Linked DNA regions of Drosophila melanogaster. The protein of the gene in region 2 interacts with the protein of the main gene of each other region in a pairwise test. Each region holds a gene or a part of one and is shown on either strand. Other genes may lie near its edges. The genes, in order: Nelf-E, Hn, cv-c and CG4116.

Region 1 (7,495 bases), 840 kb from region 2:
ATCTGCGACGGGAGGAGGAGGAACTGCGTCGTGAGGGCTTGCTCTCTGACAGCTCGGTGCAAAGTAAATCCGACGTGGAGGATGAGCACGGTGAGGTGGCATTGAGTGACTACGCCGCCAGCACGGCAGATTTGGACGCAGCGGTGGAGCAACTACAGCAGGCTCAGCTGGAGAGCGACTACGAGAGTAAACTGGAGGACGATGAAGTTGAACGAACCCTCAGGGACAGCGAGTATGAGGAGGAAAAGTTTTCGGAGCAGGAGGAAGAGCAGGAAACAACGAAATTGGAAAAGGAACTAACTGAGCAGGAACTGGAGGAGGCTCTGGAGAAGGAGCTACAGGAAGCAATGGAGAAGGAGCTATCTGACTACCGCCAAAAGGAGAAGGAGCAAGAATCAGAGCAAGAGCAGGCCTTCTCCGAGGAGGAATTGGCTGCTTCCGAGATTGATTACCACCAATCTGAAGAGGAGCAAGCCACCTCCGAGGTCGGTTATCACCCATCTGAGGATGAGCATCCCTTATCCGATGGTGAACAGCCTCTCTCCGAGGAGGAGCACACTTTATCCGACACGGAACATACCCCGACTGAGCCCGAAACCCAGAAAGTTGAGGAAACCATTCACAAATCCACAGCTAGCGAACCCACCGAGGCCGAAGTTGAGCTAAAATTCGTTGCCACTTTGCCCACCGAACCAGCTTTTGGAGACAAAGAGGAGGAACCAGAGGAGCCTCCTCTTCCACCACCACGTCGCAAGTCCACCACCGCCCTAGAAACCATTGCCACCACAGCCCTGACCATAGCCGAACAGTACAGCCGCGAGCTTACGCCCATCCAGACGGTGCAATCTGCGCCAGAACCGCAATTCCCCAGTCGCCTGGCCGAATTAGAGGTGGAACGTCTGCGCGTCCATGCCCTGCAGGCTGGTCAGATTCAAGTATCGCAACTGCATGGCAATCAAGTCAAAGCAGACGATCTGCAGTGCAAGTCCGGACAACTGGTGGTGCAGAATATCGAACTCCCGCCTGGTTTTATTGATGACATTGTGGAGCGGGTGCAGCGAGAGCAGCGTCCATCTTTGCTTACCACTGAAACCCAGACTAGTCGGCAGGCAAGTAGCGAACCCGCCACCTCCGAGAAGGAGCTGCCCGTTAAGCCACCTCGTCACAGCAAGACCACCGAGCAAGTGCCACCCGCATCCAATCTGGACGAGCAGACCCAGACGGATGCCGGTTTGTTGCCACTACCTCCACCGCCGACAGCCTATCCCAGTGTTGAGTACCTTCAGTCCTTGGCCCCACTAGCCTTCTTTAATCTGCAGCGAAGCGCAGAGGCGGAGGAAGCGGAGGACTTGAAATCAGTCGAGCGAAAGGCACCGCACAAATGTCGACGTCGTCATGTCCAGGAACCCCTCGAACCGGAATCAGGTTCCGAACCAGAGGAACACTTGGTGGAGCGACCACGCTCGCGATCGCGTCGCTCTCGTACCCGCAGTGCTACCCAGCCATTGGATGAAGACTACGACGACGATCAGCCCAAGACGGTTGCTCAAGCAGGACGGAATTTTGCCTCCGCCTGCAGCCTGGAACTGGTTAACATTATCAACCAGCTGACGCACTATGTTCGAGGTGAAGCAATGGAGCCTCAACAGGCGACACGTAATATATCAGCACTGGTGATCCTCTTCATCGCGATCACGCTCGCAGTTTTGGTATTCCTGTTAACGGGGCGGCAGGTGCACACCCATCATTGGGACTACTTTAATCCGCCCGGGAACGATCATGGAAGGCAGACGTGAGGGACTGTGGGCAGTCCCATCCTGGTTTTGTTATCCTTTGGAGCGGTATTGCATTTTGGAGCATCGAATCTGGCCAAGATACTTGGCGGGATGAAGAAACGAATTTAAACGCGGCCAGGTGTCCGCTCGAAACTTGAAGGCCTTAATGATACTAACAAGAAATTACTTTAGGAATGAGGTGCGCCAATGGGGGCGGCGTTGGGCAGGGGCGTGCCCGTGCTACTAGTCACACAAAACAATCGAAACCAGAATCCCAGTTCAATGACCCATCATCACACACATACCGACATCTAACTTGTACTAACCAGAAATATAGAGGGAACATTTTTCAACGTTGTCTACCAACGATATAGAAATCTATATGGCAGAGCATAGCAACAGAAGCAACGATCATGTATTAACTATTTACTTAACTCATGCTATGTACATACATACGACGTTCTCTGTTTCTTGCGAGGAGGGGGCGAGGACCACTAATAAGAACTTATTTTGTTTGCTCATCTTTTCTACCACGTAAGGCAAAGCGAGAGATTCAATTGTTAAACATATTGTTGTTTAATTTAGATCAAAACGTAGGAATTAATATACAAAACATACAATCTTTTTCATTGAATTCATTTGAACGTTATAACTTGAAATGCGAGTACTTAGCCAGAAAGTGAACATATATATAGAAGCGTATTTTCAATAAAGCAAAATTATTTAAAATAAACTGAAATGTGTTCTGTTACTAAGGGATAAAGTAAGTAGAAAGCTAAACGTAGAAACTAATTATTGCGCTCTAGAGCAAGAAGTCTTCATCGTATTGAACCATCTCGCGGTGGTCCTTGTGGCTACCCTTTTGTGATTTGCTGGCGGCTATTTGGGGAGTACATAAGGTTTGATTTCGTTTTTAAGTTATAGAGAAACACTGAGCACTTACCAATAGATGACCAGACTGCCGACGAGGAGGCATCGTTAATGGGCTCAATCTGGGGCTGGCGTCTAGCCAACTGCACCTGCAAGTTGATGCCATTCACATTCTTGCCATGAATCTCCGCAATGGCGCGATCTGCCGACTCGGGTTTGGCGAAGGAAACAAAGCCGCGACTGCAAGGCCATACAGGATAAATTTATAATTTCTCCAGTTGGGAAAATATATATGTAAGCTATAACATGGACTTTCCATGTTCACTTACCTCTTTTCGATCTCCATGGAGACATTGACAATGGTGCCGTAGTCGTTGAATGTCTTTTTTAAGAAATCCTCGGTGACCTTGTTGCCGGACACGAAGATGGTATTGCCGGCCCGTGGCTTCTCTGGCTGCGCTGTGTCCATGGGCACCTTCTCGGGCATGCCGCGCTCCTCTCGATCCCGCTCGGTGGCGAAGTGTTGGTAGAGATTCTGTCGACGCGGCTCCTCCTTAATGATCTCACTAATGATCGTCTCCTGGGCCACGTCGTTCTGCGTAGACGAAAAGGGCTGGTAGGAGGCAACAGTGGTTTCCGAGGTGGAGCGCTTGGCTCTTTCCTGTCCTTTGGGCCGCTTGAAGGAGGTTTGATCTTGCTTGGTCTGCTTCTGGATGGCGGGAATGGCGCCGCTTTTGATTAGTTTCCTGGCCACTTCACGGGCATCTCGCGCATCCGTGGGACGCTTCAAGGTCAAGGAGCTCTCCGGCTCCGGCTTGGGCGCCTTGTGCGCTTGCAGTGCCTTTTTCTACGGGTTAAAAACTTGTTAATATAAATAATCACATTTGTGGCATGAGTTTTCCCACCTTTTTCTTGAGTTTCTGATACTTGGCCTGCAGCATTTGCTCCTCTTCGGTTAAATTGTTGGGGAAGTGTATGTAAACCATGTTGGGAAAATGTCTGCTTGAAATTAACCCCGTAAAAAGTAACTTCTACAAAAGTAATTATGTTATTCCAAAATGTTTATTTTTACTATCGAAATCTATCGAATTGGCTTAGTGTGACTGTAACAGTTGATAGCGAAAAATACCACATAAGATGTGTATGATTTACTGTCACATTAACTATTTCTGCACAACACTAGACCACATGCAACTCTGTGTTTAGCAACACTAACGCCATGCTACCACCGAGCTGTCAAAAAAGTTCTTTCCTTCTCTTTCTTTCCGGTTAGCGTCATGGTAAGAATCGACGAAGGTTTCTGCGGATCGGTTGAAAAATGTGAAAATTCAGCGGTCTAAATGGCCCGAGATGAATTAAATTTGGCGGCCAAGCGAACGGGTCAGTGCGTTGAACGTGTGAATAGCGAAAGCAGCGTAAAAGCGTTGGAAAACCATGGGATATCCAACATTCAAATAGTTCACGTGGTGGTCACCAACACAAGCAACGCGCTGGCCATGCAACAACCGAAATCCAACATTTTCACCCATTTTTAATGGACTTCTCTCTGTTTGCAGCCTTTCGAGAGATTCGTACAAACTGGTCGCATTGCCAAGGCCTCCGCCGGTCCCCTGAAGGGGCGCCTGGTGGCCATTGTCGACGTCATTGACCAAAACAGAGTAAGTGCATCATTCCATAGTGGAGTAACAGCAACAAATTGCCAAGTGACGAGCTCTTGCACATGATGATAATTTGTCTTCTTGATAGGAAGTGCCAACTGACACATAAATGAAGCTAGTTTAACCCTCTGAAAGCAAGCAAGCAAAACCAGCATTTGTTGCTGTACTCCTCCCTTCATGGCCATACATGGTTAAAGTGATCCAAACTAATTAATGGCTTTTCACTTTTCAGGTTCTGGTAGATGGTCCTCTGACTGGCGTGCCCCGTCAGGAATACAGATTGAACAATCTGCATCTGACCAAGTACCGCATCAAGTTCCCCTACACCGCGCCCACGCGCATCGTGCGCAAGGCCTGGACAGAGAGCGACCTGAAGGCCCAGTGGAAGGTCAGCCCCTGGTCCGTCAAGGCACAGAACATCTGCAAGGTATGTACACTGAGCACGAGGAGGATTCGTAGCTGTAGGAAAGTTTACCTATGTAGAGGGGAAAATGTTATACCTCTTCTCTGCCTAGTTGATTACCTCCTTGAACTGCACATGATGATAATTGAAAGTTCTTGATAGGAATTGCCGGCTGACACATATATGAAGCTAATTCTAGTTTATCTGATTACAATCATAGCTAGGCGTCTTCATAAACATTCAGAATAAATCAAGTACTAATGAGAATTTGTCTTCTTTTGCAGCGCTCCTCGTTGAACGACTTTGACCGCTTCAAGCTGCGTTATGCCAAGCGTCAGCGCAACAAGCTGCTGACCATCGCCTTCAACACACTGAAGAAGCGCACCAAGGCTGACGGCACTCCCCGCGTCCTCAAGAAGGATCGTCGCGAGCGTCTGCGTGCCGAGAAGGCCAAGGGTGGCAAGAAGGCCGCGGCCAAGAAGTAAAAAATACTACCTTTAACGAAAGTAACTGCTTGATGAACATCCACCACCATGGAGAAAATAAAAGAAAGTGTTATTTTTAGGAAAAACACAAGCACACTGCCAGCTTTCTTTTGGTTTAACGGTTTTATTTGCTCTCAAGAAACAAAATGATCTTAACAGTCCAATCTTTAAAGCACAGTCTACCAAATAGCTAACGACCAGAGGACCCCGCTCAAGTGGGGCACTTGCCGTAGATGGTCTTCCAGTTGTTGGGATGGTTGTAGCCCAGCAGGATGGGCAAGTGCAGGAACAGCGTGATATGTTCGCCTTGTATCGACGTGGACACCTTGACCCACTTCCGCAGCCACTCGATCATGGCCTCGCTGCTCAGGCTGTCGGGATTCAATCCGCGCAGATAGCAGGAGTAGCGCAAAGCATCCGGTGTCAGGTTGTGAACGCCACCCTCGCGGGTTATGGCCTGGTCCATGTAGTGCACCAGGAAGGCGTGCTCGTGGAGCCGATGTCGCTTGAAGATGCTACTGGGCAGTCCATGAAGGTTGACTAGGTTTCTCTGGAACGTATGCATTAGTGATATGCTTTAGGCTGCATAAAATGTGTCAGATTAAACGTACAACGTGCTTCCGCGACATTCCCAGCAGGGAATATGGTCCTTCGGCGAATATGTCTTTGACATCGATGAGCATCTCAGGCGTGGGGTGTGTGCCGCTGCCCAGCTGGCCCAGGATGTCAGCAAAAGCCGAGTGCTTGGGATGCGATGCCGTCGCTTTGAGCTTGTCCTGCAGGCAGCGAAAGACGTCCTTGTTATTGCATAATCGCCGCTTCATGTAGTAGCTCTGGAACTCGGAGCGCTGCTGCGGAGTCCAGAAATGGGCAGTGAGAAAGGAGCGGGGGTAATAAAAGCTGCGAAAGAACAAATCGGTATACCAAATTTTGCAAGAGTGTTTAGTAGGGCATATCTTACACGAGGGGAAAGAACGCATAGCCCACCATGGGCAGGGAGCAGCCGATCAGAGCTGGTGCCACCTTCATCATGTCCCTTGGCATCTGCATGTACAGCTCCAGCTCCTGGCGATTCAAAGCTCTTATGCCTTGAGGCGAATCATTGGCAATGCGGGCAATCTTGAGGAAACGTTTCATGTCGCCAAAAAAGTCCTTGACGCCATCGAAGAACACCCTGTACAACTGCATGGCCTTGGGGAAGTTCTTTTCGAGCACTTTGTCGTAGTTCTTCACATAGTTGAAGTACCGGGTGAATATGTAGTCCTGCATATTGTCTCGCATCTGATCCCGTTTCGATTTCACAGTGTCCAGCTCCTTGCGCTTCTCGTCTTCGGGTTTCTTAGACGGCGTCGGCTGTGTGGACGACGAGCTGCTGGGCCGGACCTTTGGCTTTTCAATGGGCTTGTTGGCATCCCAGCCCGTTTCGTAGATGACCTTACCCACGCTGGTTATCTCGGCGGCCACATTTCGCTTGATTTGTGGTGGAACCGCTGCTTCGGGCTTCGTTGCGTAGTTCCTGCTGCAGAAAGCTGTTGGCCTCTTATCGCTGGCGCTGGGTAATTGAATTTTAATGCTGACTGATAATTGGGGTCAACTACTCACCTGCTGCACAGGTGTAACAGTCGCCGGCGATCGCGGGGCCAACAGTTGGCCGGAATCGCGGCGCATCGGGCAACGCGCAGCGCCAACGCCATACTGTAACTCCAAGTGGCAGCCAGAAACCAGGAAGAGGCGCGTTATTACGCAACCGCCGACTCCAATGCAGGAGTTGCCCACAAAAATAAAAAAAATTCAAGGAGCAATTACGATTTACTCGATTTGAACAGCTGTTGAACTAGAGATGGAACACAAACAGAGCTGCTCACACGTTTAGCGAGTGTTCTTACCACCGCTGAGCGAATGCACGAACCTATCAGTTTTAACGAAAGTTCCAGCCAAGCAAATATTTATATTTAACGAAAATGTCTGTTAAGTGTTTTGTTTTTGAAATTGCTAGCTTTGTTATTTGTTTAATATAACCATTATAGTTTAGAATATATCCATTGCAGTAAAACTCTTTAATTATAATAGAAGCATGCCAAGTTCCCTGGGCCAAAAATTAAGGCTAAAAAATAGAAGGTATGAAATTGTATGTATATATTCAAACATTATTTATTATATCAGTTTGAAACTAATTTCAATTATTGCTTCATGTACTAAATCTGAAAATCCAGATAAGAATTTCAAATCTCTGGCGCCCACCGTGCAGCAAGCAGTGCGCACTGCTTCACGGCGAAAGGCTTTCTCTCCGCTGGCTGCAGAAAT
Region 2 (8,910 bases):
TCATCACATGCAGCAACAGCAGCAGCATCAGAACCAGCAGCAGCAACATCAGCAGCACCAGCAACTGCAACAGCAGCTGCAACATACAGTGGGTACTCCGAAAATGGTGCCTCTCCTGCCGATTGCGTCCACACAAATAATGGCTGGAAATGCGTGTCAGTTTCCCCAACCCGCCTATCCGCTTGCTAGTCCCCAACTGGTGGCACCGACATTTCTTGAGCCGCCGCAATATCTCACCGCCATTCCCATGCAGCCAGTGATCGCTCCGTTTCCGGTGGCGCCAGTGCTTTCCCCACTTCCGGTGCAGTCACAAACGGATATGCTGCCCGATACGGTGGTTATGACGCCAACACAGAGTCAGTTGCAGGATCAATTGCAGCGGAAGCACGACGAACTGCAAAAACTGATCCTCCAGCAACAGAATGAGCTGAGGATCGTATCAGAGCAGCTCCTCCTATCCCGCTACACATATCTGCAGCCCATGATGTCGATGGGATTCGCACCTGGCAACATGACAGCAGCAGCGGTGGGTAATTTGGGAGCCAGTGGCCAACGTGGACTGAATTTCACCGGCAGCAATGCCGTGCAGCCGCAATTCAATCAGTATGGATTTGCACTGAACTCGGAGCAGATGCTTAACCAGCAGGATCAGCAGATGATGATGCAGCAGCAGCAGAATCTGCACACGCAGCACCAGCACAATCTCCAGCAGCAACATCAGAGCCACTCACAGTTGCAGCAACATACCCAGCAGCAACATCAGCAGCAGCAGCAACAACAGCAACAACAGCAGCAACAGCAGCAGCAGCAACAGCAACAACAGCAGCAGCAACAACAGCAGCAACAGCAGCAGCAACAGTTGCAGCTGCAACAACAAAATGATATTTTACTGCGTGAGGATATCGATGATATAGACGCCTTTCTCAATCTGTCCCCCCTGCACTCATTGGGCTCGCAATCCACCATTAATCCCTTCAACTCCAGCAGCAATAACAACAATCAAAGCTACAATGGAGGCAGTAATCTGAATAATGGCAACCAGAACAACAACAATCGCAGTTCAAATCCTCCGCAAAATAATAACGAGGACTCGCTGTTGTCCTGCATGCAGATGGCCACCGAATCGAGTCCTTCGATCAACTTTCACATGGGCATCAGCGATGATGGCTCCGAAACGCAGAGCGAGGACAACAAGATGATGCACACTTCCGGCAGCAATCTGGTGCAGCAGCAACAGCAGCAGCAGCAACAACAACAAATCCTGCAGCAGCATCAACAGCAGTCAAATAGCTTCTTCAGTTCGAATCCCTTTCTCAACAGTCAGAATCAGAATCAAAACCAATTGCCAAACGATCTGGAAATATTGCCATACCAGATGTCCCAAGAGCAATCACAGAATCTATTCAACTCGCCACACACAGCCCCAGGCAGTAGTCAATAGCGTATACCCACTGTATATAACACTCTGTAGCGATAGGAAAAGATAGAATTGTATAACTCCAGGCAACCCATATAACCACATATCCGTGTATTATCAAGTTTGGCCTCTGGCTCTCTTTATCGAACCTCATCTATCGGAAGCCCAGAGCTAGTTGTAGATCTCAACAGACTGAGTATTGTCCCACCCCGCTCCCATTATGCGTTGTATATAACATAAACATAGGTGTACTATAGAAAAGGTCTCAAAAAAAAAAAATCCATTGTAAGTAGGTTCTAAATTGTTGTAGTTTGTAGCAAGAACCCATCGTTTCCATAGGTTAGCCTTATCCAGTAAGTGCCATCGAGGCGCAAACAAGGATCTCTGATACGAAATCGAACCTTAAAACCTAATCCTAAGTTATTTGTATTCTAATATACTGAGAAGCGACTAACAAGCAAACGAGTTGAGCAAAGCTAATTCAATTCCATATTATTTTCAAGACTGGGCTTCGTCATTGAGGTCAAAAATGATATTTATCGTACGATTTAGTGTTATTATGTATGTATAACTCATAACTCAGGTTGAGATTGCAACTGACATTTATTTTGCTGTGAAGATATTCCCATAAGTTTTCTTTAGGCCCGATCTTTTCTGACAGCTGAAATGCCATTAGTTCAATCATTATTACAATTTCCCCTGCATTACCATTTTACTGTTGGAAAAGTTCGTTCGAATATGCTTCGATCTGCAGCTGATAAAGAGCCAAATGCTTTAAACTTAGAACTTGTAAATGGAAACAAACTATCTTAAACTCAACTACAACTACCTTAATAATTTTAGTTAGCTCAATGTTTAAGATTTGTACATACCTATAGGACGAGTCGTTAGAACTTGCTTAAGCCTGTAAATACGATGAGGATAATGTAGACCCATTTTGTACATAACTGTTTATATGTTTTTCAAAAGAGCTTAACAACAAAATGTAATTGAACATGCTAACCAAACCAAAAAAAAAAACCAGAACATTATCGATACAGAGTTGTAATAAAGCAAAACAAAAAACAGTTACAAAAACTTACATAATTGCATGTTATTTATTATTTGATTCATTCTTAATAGTAAGTAAAGAGAGGGAGTAAAAAATGTATATGAATTCTACTCAGACGCGCAGCTTGGCAACGGCATTCTGAAGAATCTGGAACTCGGAGTTAATGTTGTCCATCAGATTCGAAATCTGGGGCTTCGAGTCGAGAACCTCAACACTCTGAGTATAGGCATTGTAGCGAACACCAAAGGGTCGGGGAATCGAGTTCGCAAATTTACTAAAAGTAATTCAAGTTATTTAACACTTTCGTTAGATATGTTTAGGCCTAGTAACTTACATGGTCTTCTCCTTGGCGGTTTCGAAACTATCGGCCACATAGTACAGAGGCTGGAACTGAGTAATGGGATACTTGGTGACGCCAGTGACCTCCGGCTCAAAGTCCTTCAGCTGCGGCTTGTCCGTGAGGCAATACTCCAGTTCCCCGTAGGAGGACAGCAGACCAGCTCCGTACGCCTTCAACTCACCCTCCTGGCGGCACACGCCGTACTCAACAGTGAACCAGAAGATCTGAAAGAAAGAATTCACGCATCACACAGTTATCCTTTGTTAGCCTAGAGCAAAGAGCCACTTACGGTGGACAATTTCTCAATGTAATCATCGGGTGCTCCCAGGGAAGCTAGCCCGATCTCCTGACTGAATTGGGCAAAAGCTGGATCTGCAAAAAGCGGCACGTGGCCCATCAGCTCGTGGCAGACATCTGGTTCCGGTGTGTACATGGGCTTGCTGGGATGTCGGATATACTGAGTGGAGTGGAAGACGCGGAAGGCCAGTCCAGCCAGGAAATCCCGAGAGCTGAGTAGTCCAGCCACTGGACGCAGAGTGAAACCTGTGCAATCTGAAGTGCAGCAATTTAATGTTACGAATTCTATCTAATGGGCAGTAATCGAACTAACCCCTCAAAAAGTTGGACACATCCTCCAGCTGGGGAATGTTATCCTCTCGGAATCCACAGTTGTCCACCAGCAAGGGAAAGACGTGGTTGTACTCGCGACAGGCATGTGTCTTATACAGCTTCGTAAGATTCCTGAAGATAATGCCCCAGGTCTCGATCTCCTCCTTGGTGTAATCCACATGGGGCAAGGGCTCGCCATGCTTGTAGTTGTAGGCAATGTCGGCGAAGTACTTGCGACGCTTGCGGTATTCCGGATCGGTAAAACCAGGATGATCGGCATCCAGCTCCGATCCGTAGCTCAGAATCTGATTGGCGAAACGATCCAGATCGCGTATACGCCGCGGGAACCAGGGCACAGCCGTGGCATTATCCTTGTAGTCACGCGAAATGATGTTAAAGTAGCTACACTGCTCCTTCACATCCTCGATGGCTTTTCCCAAGGCTCCCGATTTTCCATCGGCCTCCACGAAAAACTCATAACCGGGAACACGCAGCGAGGAACGCGACTCAATATGCACCAGGTTTATGTCATGCTTCTTGAAGATGGCCAAAATGTTGGCCAAAGCTCCGCTGGACAACGACGAATCCTTGGGCGAAAACAGAAGACAGGTGTTCCTGGCCTCCTTAATATCTACACCCTCGACTATGTAAGCCGAATCCTCTACGCGCGTTGGCTGTAATAAATTCATTGGTAATTTAAAAAATATTTACGGTTTATATTTTTGCTGTTTGGGAAAACAGCCATTGCATCATTGGAAATTTGACAGATTGACTCCGAGTGACCTGGGCTAAACGAGCAGTCAAGCCAAACTATTTAATATAGATAATATTTCTCTGCTCTTATGACTATGCAATGTCTATCAGCAAATCTCCTATTACAGAGGCTACCAGGGCCCAAATCGCATAATCATTTAACCGAAGCCTTATATGAGCCAACGAACTGTAATTGTAGTACTTGCCTCAGATCTGCATCATTGAGATTGTTTGTGTTTTGGCTTGAACCCCCATATTGAAGGTTTAGGTCCGACCGCAATGGCAATCAGCGCATATTGCCAAGGACTCGGCCTAGAACTTGGTGTGCTGTATCTGTGGGAAGGTCTCCCAAGTAGTATACTTTGCAAGATCTTGAGCCATAACAAGGTCCTCTAACAGGGCTGAATTATTTGTTCTTAATGTATTTATATGACATCTTATTAAGCTGTACTGTTTCTACTTCCAATATATGCGCCTGACGTCTTAATTCAGGTTTTACTCTACAAAACACATTAATAAACTACTTGTTTAGGAGCGAAAATAAAATAAACCACTAGGAGTCCCAGACACCACTCTGTTTTCCTTTGTCTAGAACTATTGCGAACTAACCCAATTCCATGACAGGTTTTATACATTATAGATCCGCATTCTCATTTCAATCAAAATAATAAAATTATATTTTATTTGAATTTTTTTTCCTCAAAGGTTGGACAAGTTCATGCTGAGAACGCAGAATAATAAACTTGTTATTGTTTTTAATTTATTAGCTATTTTACGGATCACTTTCTATACCGGGTGCACAGAGGACTCTCGCCGAAGCAACAAACCTTATCAAAGGAGACCTGCCGCTGGTACATTTTCACAAGATTCTCGGGTTTCTCCACTGATAAGTACAATAAAACCGATGGCGAACGATCCGTTCAGCAAACGAATTAAAACTGATTTAATTTCTCTATGAATCGCGCGCTTAAATAGACTTTTCGATAGGCCCCATAGCTGAGCCCAAACGAAAATCAATCCGAACTGAAACCAGTAAAAAATACAAATAATATCGCGGGCAATCGGGCGAGTAAATGATCTTGGAACGGCATCCACATGCGATCCAATCGCGGCTATGGCTCTGCGGCTGCGGGGTTATCAGTGCCCAGTGTCTCGATGGGCCTAAAATCCCATTTCAGTATTCAGCTTCATTACAGAAGCCGTCGTCTAGCCGATCAAATCTAAATGTTGAGGCTTAAATACAGTCTAGCATCCATAATTCAAAATACGAAAAAAAGGAACGCCTGATTCGAAAAACCAGTTTTGAATGTTATAGATCTGTGTTCCTGGAACTTAGGCACAGTTTTCTATAGATAAAATATAATATCGTAAACAATGTTTTCTTACTTTTGAAGAACCCAAAGCACTTCCTTTTCGCATGTTCCACTGTATTTTGGAAATATTATCAGCTAAGACTCGCCCCTCTGCTGGGGTCCAAATTAACAAAACATTATTTCAGCTAGTTTTAGATTTGCTTTGTTTTGCAAAAAATCATACTGAATAATCTGGGCTGTGTTTTTCTAATGACAGGTTCTAACCAAACGAGTTCAACGGCATTTCAGGGCAATTATTTCAGTAGTGAATAGCTCCAAGTGGGCCTGGCACGCGCTACTCTTGGTTTTTTTTTTATACTTGCGGTCCACATCAGATTGACTGGAATCAATTAGTCCAATCGTTACACTCACCCGAACTTTTTGTCGGATTTTGTCTTTTAAATGGTAATACGCTTTCCTTAAGTCTAGGTGACTTACATTGTGGTACCCACTTGTAATTGTTAATCTATGAGTAGGTTTATTATTGTTTCAAGTTCAGAGTTCACTCGGTATAAGCACGTCAACAGATAACCCCGAAATTTAAGCTGATGTAATATTACAAGAGCTTACAAAAGCTAAAGCAATAAACCATATCTATACCATGTCTTTACTTCCGACATAAAATGTTTCAATATTCTTATTTCTATTTTTAGATATGTTTTTTGTCAATCCTAAAAAGCATTGATTTAGGCCCAAAAGTAGGCAAAGAAATCAGGTCATTTTTGAAGACAATGAGGGTATTAAGGCTAATATTTTATGTAGACCGAATTGATAATCCACTTTCAATACACTCCAAAATCAAGACGAAATGGGAGTGATCTATGATGACGATGCTTAAACATCCGAAAAACAAGCAAGCCCTATCTGTACCGTTTGCTTACAAGATTTGTCTTCAGCGGAGAATATTAAACATCTGTTCTACATGTCAAAAGTTTTACATCTTCATTGATTTTTACACACCAAGACTGATAGTCAATACAAAATCAATGCACGCTTCAGTGCAGGAGTGTAGGTTAAATTTATTTTTATTTTTTTTGTCGTTTTATATGTTAAAATAAATTAACGGCTTTGTGGAATCCGGTTAAGGCGGAGCGATCTTCACGCAGCCCTCGTCCTGTTTCACCTAAAAAATTAAATGCGTAAAGGTAAAATGTAAATATGTGTTATAGTTAGGTTACTCAGTCTTACTGATTGCTGAAACACATATTGTGGCACATTGTCCTGCCATCTTCTTTGGATCCAGCCCCATGGTGCCGCACAAATGAGCTGTGTGTCCATTCTGGGCAAATAGCCTCGATCACATAACAGTTCACAAATCGCGAGTGATTTGGATGGTTCATTATTGCAGCTTGCAGGATAGAAACGTCCATTGCGAGGGGGTGTCAAAACTGGACAACTCAATGCGAGGGATTCTAGAAATAGGATGCAATAGCAAATACATAATGTGTCTTATAAAATCCTATAGCACTAACTTAAATTGTTTGTACATTGTACATTGATGTGTACTTACCCACGCACTTGGCTTCTGGACTAGACCAAAGTCCGGTGTGTCCACAAACCGCAAATTGTGAGCCCTGCATGATATAACCCGCGTTGCAGGTAATATTGCAACGAGTGTAGTTGAAGCCATTTTGGAGATACTTATCGCAAGAAGCCTTTCCGTTGGCTGGTCCCTTAAACAAAGGGCATATATCCTTTCTTGGTGCTTCCTGACTGACAGGCGCGTCTTTCGATGGCGGTAATTTGGAGCCATCCAAAATACAACTATTTTGATCATCGAGTAGATGATATCCTTGGGGGCAATGGCAGATATAGGAACCTACCGTATTCTCGCATTTGTGCTCACAGTAACGGTAAGTCATTCGCCAAGAATCTGAATCAATATCCGCCAAATCGCATTCGTTAATGTCCTGACACTCACTGCCATCGTCGGACAGCTTGAATCCGGACTTGCACACTATTTCACCCGGGGAGAAACCATCGCCGTCGGTGGGCTCAACTCTGCCCACCAGTGACGGAAGGCATTTGTATGTTCCATTTAGGTTTTTACATCCAGCCGTACAGTCCCACGATAGTTCGGGATCAGCGCACTCATCAATGTCTAGAAGGTGGTAAGTAAATTTATAGGTATTTTTTTGTTTTGCTTATAGATTTCGACATAATTTTTTTAGTACTTACCCAAGCAAGTTTTTTCATCACTTTCGTCTATTTCAAAACCACTATTACAGGTGCATATGAATTCACCAGGAAGGTTGTTGCAAACTTGAGAGCAGCCGCCATTCGATTCCTTGCACTCGTCGATATCTGAAACAGAAGATAAAGCTTAGTGTATCTTAAGGATATATTGATTAAAAAATGTGTACCTACCATTACAGCTTCTTAAATCGGTGGAATTCAGTGTATAACCCTCATAGCATTCGCATTTATGAGTTGATCTGTTACATATATGAGCGCAACCACCATTATCAATCCTGCATCTCTACAATAAAGACGACTTATAAATGTATCTTATGATCAAGAGATCAGTTTCCAAAAAATCATTACCATTTTTTTTTGCTTCATTGAATGCGTGTTTCCTTTACCAATCTTTATGCAATTGGGTTTCAAACCAAGCCATATACCATTTGAGCAATAGAGTGCATTATCTTTGGCACGTTTGAGTTTGTAGTTGACGCGGCAGGAATAATAGGTCACAAGAAAGACATGTTCCCCATTTCGGCGAAGTTTGACGGATGCCTTAGCATTTTTAATCCTCGGAGGAGTCCAGCAGGTATCGTCGTATTGAAAAGATAAATTGTTATCTATTGCGGGGGTGATTTCGGGAATATCATTTAACGAAGCTGTAAAATTAATGCATTAAAAATCAATGTAATTCAAATAAATAAATAAATAATTGTATATAATAGAAATTTTTCTTACTTATGGTTATGTTATAATGGATTCACAACATACCTGTGGAAAATGCGATACACATAAGCGCGTACAAAACAATCACTGATGTCGACATTCTGTTTTGCACCATTTCAATAATTATATAAACATGTTCATGATTGGATTACTTAAGAAAACATCAGCCGAAAGTAAACGTTTTGTTTAATCAAGTGTCTCCCATTGAGGCGCTTGTCACCAACTTGCATTAAAATGTCTGCCTAAAAGTACACACTTAATTAATTAAAAAATAAACGCAATAATATTTACAATATTTAGAATATTGTGAGTAACAGATGTTAGTAATTGTATTTAATTTTAGTTGCCATCTATGAACATGTATTTTTACTTTTTTTCCGTTACCATGTTCAACACTTTTAATGTATGTTTGATGTAAACACTGTTAAGATAATTATTTACAAAATATATAGGTTTTTTTTTAATGCCGTAACCCTTTTTT
Region 3 (8,642 bases), on a different chromosome or scaffold from region 2:
TTAGCCAGCGCAGACCCAACGCAGACCCCATTCCGCATATCGTCCAAAGTTGACACAGCTTTTGCTTTGTTTTGGTACAAAACACTGAGAGAAATATTGCACTTTATTTTATAACAGTACTTAATTGTTAGATGAGCAGATATCCGAAGTAGATAGATGAGTAGATATCTGAAATGTTAAATCTTAAAATCTCAACACTTTTGTTAAAAATTATCTAAGTTGGTTTTTCGAATTTCTTAGCTTTCCTTTGTTTTATTCTTTGTTAGGACTTCCGCTTATTTTATTCAAATCTTATGTACAATATTTATTTTTTACTGGTGTATAGCACTGTATTTTGGGGTAGATATGATCCATATTTGCACAGCGCCTGCCTGAGTCACTCGTTAAGTCGACTCAGCGCGATGTGTCAGTTTATAGGCTGGCTGGCCTGCCGTCTGGCATTTGTAATTGAAGGACCCAAATGACTTATCTCAGACACCCGGCTCTGGGGTCCCCGCTTCCCGGTCAAAACAAACAGCACTTAAAATGTGTTTTCTTGTTTGCCCGCCATGTAACAAGTGGCTGGCAGGCGGAAGTGAACTAGCCAAGGATTCCAAAGGTAAAAGGCAAACACGCGCAGAGACGTGACTACCTGTGGATGGTGAATAGAGCCATAAATACGATCGTTTGTCATAGAACAAGGGTCCTATTCTGCGACTCCCTGGACTTCATGGACACTCCAGGTATCCGCCCATTAATCATGCAATTGTGGCTGCAACCGGCAGCAGATTTCGCGGCAAGGCTCATCAATAAATAATTTGCGGCCAATAGAAATGCAGTGCGTGGGGTGGCGCTTAGATTAATGAAGGCGTCGCGATTAGAATCAATTTGAATTAATGAACATTTATAGCGGCTTTTGGAGCTTGTTTGCATACAAACACGCGCAGCGGGTTGTTTCGGCCTGGCGAAAACAAAACAAATAAAAAAAAAAACGAACAATAAAAACAAAAGACTTAGGCAACGAACTTTGGGCGGCAACGGGTAGTGTTGAGATTTTGGCCAAAATGTTGGACCGCCCGGCTGGTCGACTTGCTTATTAATTTCACATGCCTTGGCCATAATGAAAGGCGATTTTATATGGCCCGGCCGCCTGCCGTCGTTTATAATCAAGTTAAATGCGCGCTCGTCCATAAAAACTCGACTTATCAGCCAAACGGCAAGGCCAACAAATGGCGCAAATGCATTTAGGGGTGTGCGGCAAAATAGGGGGGGGGGGTATTCCGCCCTATCTTCTGCCTATGCCACAAAATCTGCATATTGCACCGTTTGGAGACAGTGCGACCATTAACAGAATGATGTCGCTGAGTGAGTGCAAGAGCGAAGCGAGCATTGCCTTTTTTATGGCACTTTTCACTCGCTTCGGTTTCGGTTTGGTTTTAACTCGGTGCGGCGCATTGCATTATGGAAAATCCCATACAACTTTATTGGCCAGCTTCCCGCTGTGTGCAAATATATAACTCTGTTTATCGCATTTCATACGGCATTATTTATGCCAAAGTGAAAAGTACACGTACAGCGAGAAAATATAACAGGAAAACAACTGCTTTGTAAGTATACAAATTCAAAAGATTGCTTTAAAATTTATGTTTTTATATGATTATTAATAGCATAATAATGTTGAAGAAAAATATAATAATTGACTTCATATTCTAATTAGAGAAAGTGCTGGACTAGGTGCATTTTTTGCAGTGCACTGTCTAAGACAAATTTCACCCGATGCCATTGGCATTGAAAACTATTCAAAATATTTCCGAAAATATCTGCGTGGCATCTTTTTGTTTCTCAATATTTTTGCTTTTGATGTGTTTACCTTTCGTTGGAAATCAAGGGGGCCAGACGCTATCGATCAAGCATGCAGCACATCACACGGCATGGAGTTTCTGAATTGGAATCTGGAGTTCATGAAGGGACTGGGATTCATTCGGAGATTGGGGAGCTCCTCACACGCTCGCTTAGATTTCAACACAATGGGCAGTTTCGATTTCAAAGCCGGCAAGAGAACCCGAGCACGTAGATCGGGTCGGGAATGGTTATGGGTAAATGGGTATATCTCTCTGCGACGTTGATGCGCACCTTCGATAAGGATGAGACCGACCGGCGAACACACCTCAAAACGTTATGAAATGCGGAGGGAACGAGAAGAGAAAACGCAAGAGAAAAGCCAATAGAATGGAAAAATAAGGAGATGGCACAAAAACAGGAAAGAGTTGACACGGCTAATCCTGACGAATTGTTGTTAGCTGTCTTGGTTCATTCAACAATTTGGTCGGAACAAGAGTTCGTTCTCCTCCATAAGAATGATTTATAATTTCACGTGCTTTATTCTTGGACCTTACAAACGTCTTCGGTTTTAATATTTATTAACTAAGCACCACCAATTAGCTGCAACTAATTAACTGCCAGTTAGAGGTGTTTATATGATTTTTTTCCTCTTATCTTATACTCCTACAAATTATTAATGGTATTCAAAAGGCTCATTATGCCATTAACTTTATGGTTTTCAAACTGTGGTCATATCTGTATTTTTAACTAAATTACAGACTTGAAGGATTTTAAATTAAAAGTTTAGCTATCTAATTAGATAATTATTCATTTACACAAATCGTAGAACTCTGCTAACCGGTTATTGAGTATTTTATTGCACTTGAAACGTAAGTTGCTTTAAATCATGATTATATTATGATTAGTAATATATAATTTGTTCTTCTGACTAGGAACATTAGTTTTGTTTTAGTAGGTTACAAAAGTAAAGTGATTAAATAGTCCACAGCTCACTTGTGAGTTTTTCATTATCATTATATACAGTTAGTTTGTCTCGCTTTCGTTTTGGTTCACACAATTTTATGGGTGAAAAAGTGTTAAGCCAATGCAGGCGCTAATCAAATTGAGACAACGAAAGTGTTAAGTCGACTTCCAGGAATCGGGCTATTAAATGAGCGTTGGGCCATAAATCTGCAGATAAGACAATGCCCCACTGATAAGAACTAAGGGAGATGCCAGTCGATAAAGCCTGAAAGAGGCTGCACAAAGATGAGGCCCGGGTCATAAAATCAGAAACCCAAACACACTAAATAAGCCATAGAGAAGACTAACATGGGATTTTATCACCGCTTGTTAGTGTAAATTTACAAACACATTCGAATGGGTGTGTAAGAGCTACAAATACATCCATATGCTTGGAGTTTTTCCAACTGTTTTTACTTTCAATAAACAATTCTAGGGGATTTCCTCTCGAACTGCAACATGCTTGAGGTCGTTTGAGATCGCTCCGATCGGCTCGAATTGAGCTGTTGGCGCAGTTTGAGCGCAACATGTTGCTCTCTTCATAATTCTTGCTGTTAGCTCGCTCTGTTAACCGGTAATCGCGGGTCTCGCGCATGTTAACTCCATGTGAACAGCAAGCGAACGTTTTGAGTTCCCATAGAAATAGCGTCTGTTAACCGCTAAAACGCTGTATCTTAACATTTCCATTGAAAACAAAGCGGGTAAGCAGGGTGATCCAACCACGAGTTTGTTGGATACAACAGTTGGGTTTCCACCTCGACCGGGAAAAGTCGGGCAAATTTAAAGCGCTCCTCTGTTATTCAAATTTTTTAAAAACATACTGAATCCAAAAAACCGTTGTTTATTGGCAGTTCTCAGGTTTTTACGAAAAAGGTGAACATTGAATTTAGGATCCGAAAAAACGTGCGGGTCAAGAGATGTAAATATATTGCAAAATACTGCATCAAGTGTTAATAATCATTTTCAGAAACATAAGCTAAAAAACTGTGAGTGCGTGACATCGTGTGTTTTGGATACGTTTTATGAATGAGCGCGGGTGTGAACGAATTTTTCGGAGTCAACAACAAATAACGAACGCGATAAACAGAGGCACACTCACACAACCGCGATTAAAAAGGCACTCTCCATTAAACAATAAAGAAATCTCTTGTTTTTCGAAAAGCAAATAGAAAATACGAAAATGTAGCGCGGAAATTGCAGTGCCAAAGAAAACAAACGCATCGTTTGTTGGGCTTGAATTTCGCACGGTTTTAACACTTCCCATAATAAAAAATAAACATCTTTCGAAACCAGAAAAGTAAAAATAAAAACTGCGTGCAGAAAAATATATAAAATTAAATAGTGCATAAAAATCGGTTTTCTTTGCGGTTCGGTTCCGTTTTTGTTTATTTGTAGTGTGCGTGTGTTTCTGTTTCCCCCTTTCTATCTCTATCCCTGTCTCTTTCTCTGCCTCACCGCCCGTCTCTTTCTCTCTTTCGAGTAAGAGAACGCGTGCTTTTGTTTTCGATTACGTTTACTACATTTTTTGTACGCCCCATAGAAAAAAACATGACGAAATGTTGTTGTTGAAAACGAGAAATAAATACAAGTGATTCAGAAAAATAAAAAAATAAACGAAACAACGAAAATAAAAGAGAAATTACACATCTGATTTATACGAAAAGAAAAGTTCTGTGAAGCAATATACGAAAGTAAAATTCTATTTGGTGTTTATAGAATCTCCGATGGTGTTGTGAAATCAAAGAAATAAAGAAAACCCAAAGCTACAGATACTCTCTTCGCGAGCAGCAACCGCAAACGCATCTAAAAAGGTAAATAGAGCTTCGGGACCCCATGTCGCTTATCTTCGGGGTAGGATAAACAATCCATCCAGCTTATCTGCAGGTCCATAAAGATCTGCAGATCTCGAGAAATCCAGACGTCGCTTGTTTATGGGTGGCTTCGGGGCTTCCTAGAACGAAACGTCAGAGTTTTAGATACATCTTGTGATTGTCGCCGGGTTTGCCACTTACTTTCACTCCCCAAAATTTACCTGAGTTTCTCGGTTTTCTAGTCTTTGACTTTGTGGTACAACTTTATCTTGTCAGCTGCGAACTGAAAAAGATAGTGATAACCTAAATAGTATATGTTTACAGTTAGTTAGTCGCTGGCATAATCTACGCGACGCGTTCGAGTTATCTGCGATCGTTTTTATTGGCCTTATACGAGTTCTGATCGGCTTTCTTTACCATTTCCGCTGCTGTTTGAATTGTCAGCGCTTTATTTTGATTCATAAATCATAATCGCTATGTATTGTAGTTTGTTTACACTCTGGTCGAGTGCTGCTTTTTCCCTCCAGCGTTTGTTTTTAATTCATGGGAATAATCACCGAAAAGTGCACAAACAATCCGAATCCGATTTGCATACTTATTGAGAACTCAGCCAAATGGCAGGCGTAGCATTTCCGGTTCTAAAATGCGTCATCGGAGTATGTCGATCGTTTTAACCCCCGAGAAACTGAAACTGGCGACCCGTTTTGTCTACCATAACAACAACTCTTGATACGGCCCGCCCTTTATTATTTTACAGCATAGCCACCTTATATATAGAAACTCGTTTTTCGTTGTTTCTGCCTTTGTTGTTTATACTCCACATACGTACCGATAAGTATGTAAATAAGTTCACAGCGAAACACTTGTGCTGGGTGCTTGATAAAATAGCAAATTTCAGGTAAATAAAACTGAAACAATATTTCGACTGGCCTGGCGTTCTTCATCTTCTGGTTGGGAAAGACCCAAAAAAATTGATAATTCAATGTTTATAAGTTACATGCAGTTAGGATTTTTAATATTATTTCATTTATTTAGATATGAAATTCAAAACATAAACAAAATAAACAAGACATCTCCCATCCTAAAACATCTTCCGTAAAAAACTCGCTTCTGATTTTTAATTAAACAAAACCATGTTACACCCAATCCAGCAGCTTAGAAGCAAATCTCTGCCCAGATTTTCCCTGATTTAGTAAAATCGCTTTCCCCTTGTTCGGCAGCTCGCAAACATTTATCAGGCGGGGCAGGTTCATCAATTTCGTGTGTGATAAATGTCGTACAAGAATTTACACAAATATGTATGCATGTCTCTATGTCTCTGCTCCAGCTGCCGGGTACAAGCTGAGTTGACAAAATGATTTGTTTGGGCGCCCCATGTTTTGTCTTATTGTCGCCAACCCCTCACCAGAGCATCTTCATGATCACCGATCGCTGAGCGCCACCCTGAACTTAAGGCCAGAATCTCGAATCTCGATGCAGATCTCATCTACGGACTGGAGTAACGAAACAGCCACTAATTCCAAACAATGTAAGGCATTATTTATTTTTAACTGAGGTCATCAGCGTAGACATCGTCTATTACAAAAAACGCCCGCCTCTCTCTAGAATTTTTCATCTCATCGTGCTGGGAGCTCCGGTTCTCCGGTTCTACGATTCCCCAGTTCTCAGTGCTCCATTCTCTGTTCTCAGTTTTCCGATCGCTACACAGAAACACAATATGATCGGTTTTAAATCTGATATTATGATTAAATTCAAGCATAAGGAGGAAAATTTTGAAATCTTATAAGATCTATCTGCTCTTTTAAGTAAAAATTTCTTAATTACATAAAGACATGAATAATATTTTACTGAGCACTTCTTTTTTGTGTTATTATTATTATTGTATTAAAACATCGATTTTTTATGTGTACGGTTTTGAGTTCTATAGTGTTGTTCTTATTTCAAACTTAATGTGCTCGGTGCTGTTTTTTGTTCAGCTGTTGAACTCGAACTCTCACCAAATTATGCCACACACACAAACACCCAAACTGATAGTGTGAGAAAGAGAGGGGTAGCATGGCGGGGGAAAGAGAAGCCGAGCAGTTTTAGTTGGGTTTACAAAGATCCAAGACCAAAGAGCCAAGACCCAATGCCAGCGGGGCCAGCAAACATTATTTGAAATATTTATGCTTGACTTTTGCGCCTCAATGACTTTTGAATTGCCTTGCCTTTGGCTGCCAGTTTCCACACACACAGCACACACTCACACAACCGCACTACCACACGTGTGCATAAATGTATCTGGATTTTATGTCGGTTCTTAAAGATACGCGCCGATCTTTGTGTATATTTTTACATGCCGGCGCGCACATATGTTGCATCAATGGATGTTTGGGATCTAAGATTCCTAGCCCCACCGGAGAAAACTACACAAACATTAAAGACACATTAACCTGCTTTTAATTTGTCAATATTAGCTGGTCAAAGTCGTTGGTCCGCGCAGAAGAAAGGCCTTTCTCGGGTTCTCAGGCCACACTTTTCATTTCTTTCGGCCATCGTTGGAAAGTGAGGCAACAACTCAGGCCAGCTGAGAAGAAAAAGGCAAAAAGGCAATAACTCTGCACGACAGACCCAGCATGTCTGAATGTCTGAAATGTTGACCTTTTCACAGCTGGAACCATCTCTCACATCATATCGTTTGTGGGGTTCTTTTCGGTCTGGCCGTACAGCATATTAGCCCATTGCTCGGCCGCTTGTCAATTTCTGTCAGTTGCTTGTCAAAAAATTTGTTTGGTTGTAAAAAATGCAGTGAAAACGTTTACAGACCACAGATCACCACCAAAAATAGGAAAACAATCTGAAAAACCGTACACGATTTTCTTGTAAGCCATCCAGAAAATGATTGACGAACCGCACTGACGAGCGCTGACTAACTTACATCTTCGTACAATGTGAATACTTATAGTGCACACTGTGAATTCCCAGTCTCTGGCTGCATAATTAACCTTTTGGCCGGACTTTTGAGAAATGTATGTACATATGTGCTGTAGTACTACACCCGGTCTTTTTGCGTTTGTTTACAGCGTAATTTGTTGATAAATAAATGTGAAAATGCAAACAAATCGGGTGAACAACAACCACCGGGCTACGCAATCGACGTCCGCTGACTAATGGCTCCCCAACTTATCTAGCCCACTCCCTGTTTTTTAAGGTAGTGAGGTATAATATATAATGGAAGGGCTCTGTTCTGTTGGACACGTATGTAGGAACACAAAATATTGGGTTGATTTCTTTTCGGGTATTCCCTTTATTGCCATAACTTGACATTTTGCCAATTTGTCTCGAACTGACACGTCTGCTGCGTAGGTTAGGTGGCTATTTTTTTTTTGTCACCTTAGAAACTCAGGTGGAAATATGTGAAGGGCGTCGCGTTATGGCGCCATTAAAAATGAGCTAAATTAGCATTTTTTAACGAACTTGGTTATTAATTCCTGCTTTTGGCGTAGATCACCAATTAATTCACGCTCGTTGGCACGGCAGGTGATCTTTTTCCCCCACTCTCCAAATCTCTCTATCAACTATGATGATCTAATCCGGCGCATTCAATTGCCGTAATTAGGCTCAATTAATTTGGCATAAAAGCGGAAATGGAAAAGTGCTGGTTCGAGCGGATGCAAAAAACAAAAAAAAAAAAAAAACGGCAAAGAAAACCCCCCAAAATGTAGAAAAAAGCGTCGGAAAAAACTGTCTTAATGATAGACATTCACTTTTTATGGCCGCGCGAGGTGTGTGTCTTAATGGAGTGAAATTTCTGGTAATTGAGCGCGACGAGCTTTTTGGACTCTTGGGTGCGCATTTGATGAATTTTTGATTTTTGAGCAAGTCCACATATTTTTGCAGCAATTTGCCTGGCTTTTGTTTTTGGCACGGCCGAGTGACTCGGCGTCTACTTTGGCTCGGCCCCAGCCTTCTTCTGTGGATTTTGCCTTTGCTTTTGCTGTAGCTGCTGTTGTGCTGCATTTGTTATGC
Region 4 (7,466 bases), on a different chromosome or scaffold from region 2:
GTGTGCTTTTATTTTTTTTGTTGTGCAATTAATTCGCCAAGTCATTTATCAATCAATCAGCGGTAATGTTTCAGGCAAAATCAACGAAAAATATACTTTTCAAAACCATACGAAAAAACGCAGCGAACAAGCGCACTTGACAAGTGTGCCAAAAAGGCAAACAAAAAAAAAAAATAAAACGAAAAAATCAGAAAAAAAAGACAAGGTCGTTGTCCACTTGTGAAGGCCTTACCACCCTGCTCGCCCGCCTCCCCAACTCAACCCATCGAAAATTGGCTTACAATTGGTCTTGTAGAGCAACCACAAAAGTACTAAGTAAATCAAACGTCAAGTGGCCAAAGCACCCAAAAAACCAAACAGACAAAAAACAATAAGGCCGAAAAAAGTTGGTAGAAAAAACCGGTAGAACAAACACGTCACGGCAATTAAAAGCCAACGGAATACAAGAAATTTACAGAACAACAAAAATCGATTTCAAAAGCCGGGGGAAGGGGGCCAGCCAACTAAGCCACAATTGTTGTTGCTGCCATGTCAATTGACCATTGCTTTGAGGGATTCAAAAAAAAAAAAAAAGCCACAAAGAATTCGAGAAATATCGACAGACAACGGTGAAGAATGGACAAAAAGGAGAGGAGCCGCAGAATTTCATCGGTTTCTACATCTTGCCTGCATTGCCACTTGGACAAAAAATAAAGTGTTAAGACCAACACAGTCAGCCACAAGTGATGGCAGCGTGACCCATTGTACATGTACAAATATATTAAATATAAATAAAATATCTTAAGAAAAAAAAGGGAAAAAATTATACATTTCTGACTTTGCCATGCTATTCACTAGAAATTTGCCACACAAAGTGTCATGATTATCGCTGGCAATCCCGGTGCTTTCTGGCACGTGACTCACGCACCCATTCTTTGACTCCCACATTCCCCGGATCCCTGGATCCTTGGATCCTTGGATCCTGGGCAGGATGCCCCACAATTATGCCCTTTCCTGACCACAGACGTGGACACTCTGCATGCCAAACTTTTCCACTTTGCAACTATTTCAAAAGTGAAGCGAAACTTGTGGCCCACTTAGTCGTCCGTCCATGTCCATACACACACACACAAACACACACACACACGGCTAAATGTATTTATGTATATATTTTCGGATATCCCGCCCGATGTCCGTGTGTCAACGCCGCAGTTTGGGTCTCCGACGTCGATTTCCAATGCGGTTCGTGTCTTTGCCTGCTGCATGATTTATGATTTCTGCCTCGAAAAGTATTTGTGGCATTCCATTTTCCCCCGCATTTGTGGCCCTTTCCTTGAGGTCCAAAATCCGCATCCCGTATCCCTTATCCGTATCCCCGAGTCCAAATCAGAAGCCAACTCAGTGGCAGACTCACTGCCAGAAGCGTTCAAAGTTGTCTACTCAAATCATTTTAATTGAAAATTACACATGAGCGGAGCCGAGGAGAAGTAAACTTTTAATCACAAGTAGGCGACTTTCGGAATGCCCTCTAACTTCTTCTTCGGCTCCATAGTATGTATATATTCTTTTATATTAATATAGTATATAGTATATAATATAAAATTAGCTAATTTTAAAGCCCAAGCTTTTCAGTTTCGTCTTTGTAGGGCAGCGAAATGTGCTAGACCAAAGGGAACCGGTGAGTGCTTCCAAGGGCAGTGGATGGTGATTTTGACTTTTAGCACAGCACATGTCCTTGGGCTGAGAACCTGTGTACCAACCACCGAACCATCACTCCCCCCCCCCCTCCACCAATTAAACCGTAAGACCCCACCCCTGGCTCCCCCCTGCCCACTACAGATTTTCCCCCAAAAGGTTTCGCGGGCTTGCCCAGGACCTTGGCTCTCGGTTTTTGGCCTGGCACATGGCACGTTTTGTCCGTACCGGAAATGTCCATTCACTTGCATATTAACAAAGTTCCGCACACTCACACACCAGTTGCTATTTGGTCTATGCAAATGCACTGCGAGAAATGGAGAAATGGAAATGGACTTGCGTTTTGGGGTATGTTTTGCATATAGATTATAATTCTGTTAAAACAGCACAACAAATAACCATTGCATACCAATTTCACTACATCAAATCTCAGTCGTCTGCACGTTTCAGTGTATGCTTGCTTGGCAGCAGTACTTAATAAACTCCCCAGGAAGAGACGCAAAAGAGAAGGCCAACCAAGTTGGTCGTACATCATAGGGTCCTTTTCCATATCCTCACCATGGGGGAGAGGCTATGCCAGGGTTTGTGGGGGCGGCGGCGGCGGCGGTGGAAAGGAAACAGGAAAGTATTTTGAAGGCACCGGAAACCGGAAGCAAGCAATAATTCAAATGAATTTCAAATCAAATCATTGCAAAACATTTACAAAGTATGTGCGCCAAAGCGCTGCACAAAACCGCACAAGAGCCAAATGCCAGCAAGTTCAACTTTGACTTTTGCCAGCAGCTGCAGGTGGGCGCCCACGCCTCCTCCATTCGGCCTCTTGCCTTCCACGCCCCTTTCCACAATTTTTCACCACCCATGCCACTATGGCCTTGCAGTGATTAATTTCTATTATTATGACACTGATTAGGTCCACTTACAGGCTCATTACAGTCATGAGCACATAATACACAGCCCGGACACGTGACGGTGATTTAGAGGTTCGCGAAATGGAACAGCGGCGCCGCACGAGGGGTCGTCCTGCTGACCAGGACGAGGAGCAACGGGCGCCACTCCCCGGGCGCCATCCTGCAGACATTTATCAAGACATTGACCGCCGCATGCAGAGCCGACCGGAGACCGTTTGTCTTGCACTTGACCAGGGGCTCACCAAGGGGGTTCTAAACGGGCCAGCGCACCTCGCAGACACACCGACTGGCGGCCCTTTGAACATGAACACCAGTTGGCCCATAAATTAGTGCAACTACGCCAAATCCACTGGCCTACACAAATTTGAGGCTTTGCAATCGCAAATTTGGTCGATTGGAAAACATACACAAGGTGAGAGCAATGATGTCCATGAAATATGCATGTTATACCAAAGCTAAAATTTAATTATCCATTTCACGCCTTTGCCATAATGACCTCGAATAAAACCACCTTGGTTGCAGAGTGTAATTGCTTTCAATCATTTAAATAAATAAATAAGGTTGCCTTCTCGCATACTAATAGTAATCATTAAAAAAAAAAAAATTCCTTGGCTGGGGGGCAAAAAAAAAGTAATTTTTCGCTTAACTAAGAAAGGCGGTGGATCCTCTTCTCAACCGCGATTTGGTCGCACCACCATCACCTGGGCCTTATTCTTGCCCCGCTTGTTGCCACGCCGGCGACGTCGCTGATTGTTGTTGTTAATGCTGCCACGCCTCTTGTTGACCCGGCGCCTACGGGCGGGAACGCGCCTCCTATTGTTCTGGCCACCGGGACGCACTCGACTGGACACCGCCTGGCCAACGATCTGCGGCAAGAGACCGGCAACTGGCGAGGATCCATAGATGACCTGATTAATGGCCGCATTGGTGGCCGACGAGGAGGAAGACGATGATGATGAGGATCCCGAACTGCCCAGGTTCACATAGATAGCTCCATTGGAAGTCGTGGTGACCAGGCCAGTTCCGGTTCCCGAAGTCGTTCCTGTTGTTCCCGTCGATGTGCCCGTAACAGCTCCCGTTCCCGTTGATGTGGTGCCCGAAGTGGGACGCAGTTGCTCCAGCATATCCTGCTTATTGGTTATGTACTGATTCAGGGCCGAGTTGATACCGGTGTTTGAAGAGCTGGTGCTGCTGCTGCCACTGTTCAAGCCCGATGCCAGGAATCTCAGCTGGCCATTTTCGTTGCCATCCTTCACATAGATGCCGGCCAAACGGGTATTTTGTTCCTTGGCCAGCGGATCCTTTTCGACCTTCTGGGCCATTGCTGGGCAACAACTGCCCAGCAGACAGAGCACTAGAATTGCGTAGATCATTTCTGGACGATGGACCATCGAACTGTGTGTGCCATTGGGCAGATCTTTGGCACTTTTATAGCCCAACATGAGTTGACGGAAATCGACTTTCATCGGTCATGGATGCCATGATGCCCGGAATTTTGCTTGCCAATATATATAGGTTATAGGTTTTAGAAAGCCTTTCTTCATTCTTCTCGCACCATTTTTGCTGGCCCCGAGGCCAAATAGTTGGACTTTTCAAGTGGCAAGAGCGTGTCAAGAAGTGCCCCTACTTGTAGGCCATTGTTTGCTTTGCCGCGGATCGTGAACCTCAAGTGGTCGCAGCCGAAACCGAAAAGCAAAACCAAAGCCAAAAACCAAAACCAAAAACCAAGGAGCCACACTTTAATTAAAATTTAAAATCAGCAACAGAAACACGTCTGCTTGCAGCTTCAGTTGGGGGTTTTTTCGGGCACAGTGGGTAATAATATAAATGGGAATTTGAAATCCAAATCGTATATTGGTTTTTGTACCTTTTAAGGGTTCTATTAGCAACGGAATACTGCTCTATAGCCGAGCAAATACTCTGCACGATACAAAGTTGAACCCATAAACCGCTGTTGCCCCTTTATGCACCCACTTAACGCTTTCTCTCTCTCTCTGAGAATTGCATATTTTCATTCACTCCTTTTTTTTTTTTTTTTTGGATCAACCGCTGTGAGATTGTGCATTCGGAATGGTTTCCATCACTTTGGCGCCAGTGTGCCGCAGATGGCGCCCCCTATTGGGGCGCATTTAACCCCCGGAATCCCCCTTTTTGCCAGCCTCATTTCATTTGCCGTTGATGCGATGCTGCCTTGCTGGTGGTGCCTTGCTTCTCAATTTTTCGCCTAAGTTGGCCAACCGACAGTTTTGGGGCTGAATGCCTGGCGGGGGCTGTTGAAATAAATTTCACTTACGCCAACGCTCACACACACGCACCAAAACTACACTGGCCAAAAACACAAAGGATTGCTCTTAAACTAAGAAAAAACAAAGAAAGGGGCAGCCATGTTAAGCATATATTTTTGTAATTGTAGCGATATATGATGATAGTATGTCCCAAATTCCGCTTTTAAGAACCACCAATTGTTTTCTGCCAGTGCAGCGCACACATGGAGCGCCACACGAACGTAGAGACACATACGAATGTCGCTCACTGTTCGCGGTTCGTCCTTTACTTGGCAATGCAATTACAGGCGCTAACCGCGCGTGAAAACAGCAACAGTGGCAATAACAACAACGGCTAAGGGAGAAACTATCCATCCACACCGAAGGGAAGCATATGCTCCTAAAATCATCTTTAAACCGGACTATCCACACGAATTATAATGCGCAGGCTAAACTAGTTTCAAAGCTAATATTAGTAGATAGTATTATAGTGATGTGCATTCAAATAGAACTGGTAATATCATATATATACTAACGTATAGAAAATAAATATATTGAATATGATCATACTTAATAATTTGTTTGTCAACTTAAAAGCTGTCAATTTGCTCAACGATTTGCAGTGACATTCGGCAAGGCAAGAGTATGTCCGATAGTCTTTCCTGCTCCTTGGCCTTCCTCTTGATTCACTTTATCCGGCACCACCTCTCGATTTTCCCCACCCCACACGCAAGGTGAGGCTTCCATTTCCCATTTTCCTGCCACTGAGCGGCTTAAAGCGACGCAATGACAATTAACAACAGGCGACGACAAAACGACAACGAAAGAAGGTGAGGCTAAAAATGGGATGGAGGTTGGGAGGTACTCAGAGGTACTTTTGGGTGGTTGGGGAAAATGCCATATCAATGACAGCACCAGAAGCCCGAGAAGAAAAATAAAGCGACAACTTCACGCCAGGACTCCTCGCAGGAGATTCCACCCACTTGCCAAACCACCACCCACAACCCACCACACAACATCCGACATCCAACAGCCAACACCCACCTGCCCCACACACTTACGCATATTAACAGGCTTGAATTTTTCAGTTTTTCGCAGACTTTTCCAGCAACACACCAACACACCAATAGCCCACCCCTTCCATTTTCATTTGCACGTGCAATTGAAGTGCAAAATGCGTTTGGCAATAGAATTGCCAGCTAAAGTTTTCCCCAAACCAACTCCAATTCCCGCTTTTACCCAGATTTCATTCTCTACCACAATACAAAACTCAGTTCCGTTCTTTCGTCTACTCAATTTTTATTTTTGCTCCACTTCGGTTTGGTTTTTGAAGGGAAATTTTTGTAAGTGAAATTTCAATGACATTTTAATGGAAATTGCAAATGAATGATGAAGTACGTTGGGGAGGGGGGAGGGGGGGGTGGATAGTGGAGGTAGGTGTACTTAGTGGCTTGGAAAACTGCACAGACCATCGGGGGGAATTACAGACTTGCATAATTGATGCCAAACTTAGGGATATCTTGGCACTTAGCAAGCGTAAAGCAGTGCCAAAAATAAAAAAAAAATAAGTGAAATAGCACAGAGAAACTCAAATGTATAGCAGTGAAACCTTTAAAAAAAAGAGGCTAAAAAACACTAGTTAAAATAGGGCTTATACATGGATATCAGGGGCCTAACTCTTGAATGGAATTTTAAAAAATGCATTCATTCAGAACGCGTTTTAATGAAATTTCCCGGCGACGCCATTCCATGTCATCCCGCTCCCGCCTTTAAAAGAAAACTTCACACAAAGGGATAAACTGGGCAGACATGCGAACAGAGTCCCTTCGATTGGGGAATAAAGATGCACAGATCCCCACATGGCATCACATCACGATTCGACTTTGCCCTCGTGTCTGGCGTCAGCTGTAGCTCAAAGAAGCTGGGGTCGGAAAAATCGAATTTTTGAAATTTGAAAGCTGGAATCGTTTGCCCATTTTTTGCCCATGTTTGCCCACCAATTAGTTTTTTTTGCCCACGTCCAGTTTTTGAGATATGAATTTTCGAAAAAGTTCGAAAATTTTCGAAAATCAAAAATTTCGCTTTTTTCAAATTTTTTTTTTTTAAATCGCAATAACATCGTTTGCCCACGTTTGCCCACCCTTTAGAATTTTGAAAAAATTTATACTTTAGGAAATATAAGGCTTTTAAGTTTACCTCGGTCTAATCAGAGAGTAAATCGTTTGCCCATCCAAATATTATCAACAAAAAACGTTTGCCCAACCATTATTATTAGTTTTTATCGTTTGCCCACCCTTTAAAAAACCTTTAACAAAAATTTTTTTTCGATTGCCCACATTTAAAATACAACCAATTTCCTTAGCCCACCTCTTTAAAATAAAAATTTCCAATAAAAAACGTTTGCCCACCATTTAAAACTAAATAATTTCGATTGCCCACCTTTTAAAACTAAATAATTTCGTTTGCCCATCCTTTAAAATTCATTTTTAACGTTTGCCCACCCTTTAAAAATAAATTATTTAGTTTTAAGAGTGGGCAAACGAAAAAAACAAATTTTAAAGGATGGGCAAACGAAATTATTTAGTTTTAAAAGGTGGGCAATCGAAATTATTTAGTTTTA

Evidence for each region.
Region 1: the proteins of Hn (region 2) and Nelf-E interact in a two-hybrid assay, tested with the Drosophila melanogaster proteins (one large-scale study listed by BioGRID).
Region 3: the proteins of Hn (region 2) and cv-c interact in a two-hybrid assay, tested with the Drosophila melanogaster proteins (one large-scale study listed by BioGRID).
Region 4: the proteins of Hn (region 2) and CG4116 interact in a two-hybrid assay, tested with the Drosophila melanogaster proteins (one large-scale study listed by BioGRID).

Annotation. Positions count from the first base shown.
Region 1 is NT_037436.4:8,597,113-8,604,607, forward strand, and holds Nelf-E (negative elongation factor E), read right to left. Parts: upstream 3,768-7,495; 5' UTR 3,632-3,767; coding exon 3,551-3,631; intron 3,493-3,550; coding exon 2,975-3,492; intron 2,886-2,974; coding exon 2,719-2,885; intron 2,655-2,718; coding exon 2,578-2,654; 3' UTR 2,330-2,577; downstream 1-2,329. Other genes in the region: CG43078 (uncharacterized protein), read left to right, coding at 1-1,796; RpL14 (ribosomal protein L14), read left to right, coding at 3,923-3,925, 4,202-4,303, 4,536-4,730, 4,991-5,191; CG5989 (uncharacterized protein), read right to left, coding at 5,403-5,741, 5,803-6,091, 6,153-6,743, 6,794-6,885. UniProt on the Drosophila melanogaster protein: Essential component of the NELF complex, a complex that negatively regulates the elongation of transcription by RNA polymerase II by RNA polymerase II. The NELF complex, which acts via an association with the DSIF complex, causes transcriptional pausing.
Region 2 is NT_037436.4:7,756,744-7,765,653, reverse strand, and holds Hn (henna), read right to left. Parts: upstream 5,202-8,910; 5' UTR 5,028-5,201; coding exon 4,998-5,027; intron 4,671-4,997; exon of another isoform or gene 4,377-4,670; intron 4,288-4,376; exon of another isoform or gene 4,107-4,287; coding exon of another isoform or gene 4,092-4,106; coding exon 3,419-4,091; intron 3,361-3,418; coding exon 3,098-3,360; intron 3,033-3,097; coding exon 2,803-3,032; intron 2,743-2,802; coding exon 2,580-2,742; 3' UTR 2,488-2,579; downstream 1-2,487. Other genes in the region: Clk (clock), read left to right, coding at 1-1,441; CG32373 (uncharacterized protein), read right to left, coding at 6,604-6,645, 6,711-6,934, 7,033-7,623, 7,701-7,826, 7,890-8,001, 8,067-8,362, 8,475-8,544.
Region 3 is NT_033777.3:14,476,634-14,485,275, reverse strand, and holds the start of cv-c (crossveinless c), read left to right. Parts: upstream 1-3,562; 5' UTR 3,563-3,696; exon of another isoform or gene 3,697-4,363; 5' UTR 4,364-4,634; intron 4,635-8,642.
Region 4 is NC_004354.4:3,063,515-3,070,980, forward strand, and holds CG4116 (uncharacterized protein), read right to left. Parts: upstream 4,049-7,466; coding exon 3,254-4,048; 3' UTR 3,101-3,253; downstream 1-3,100.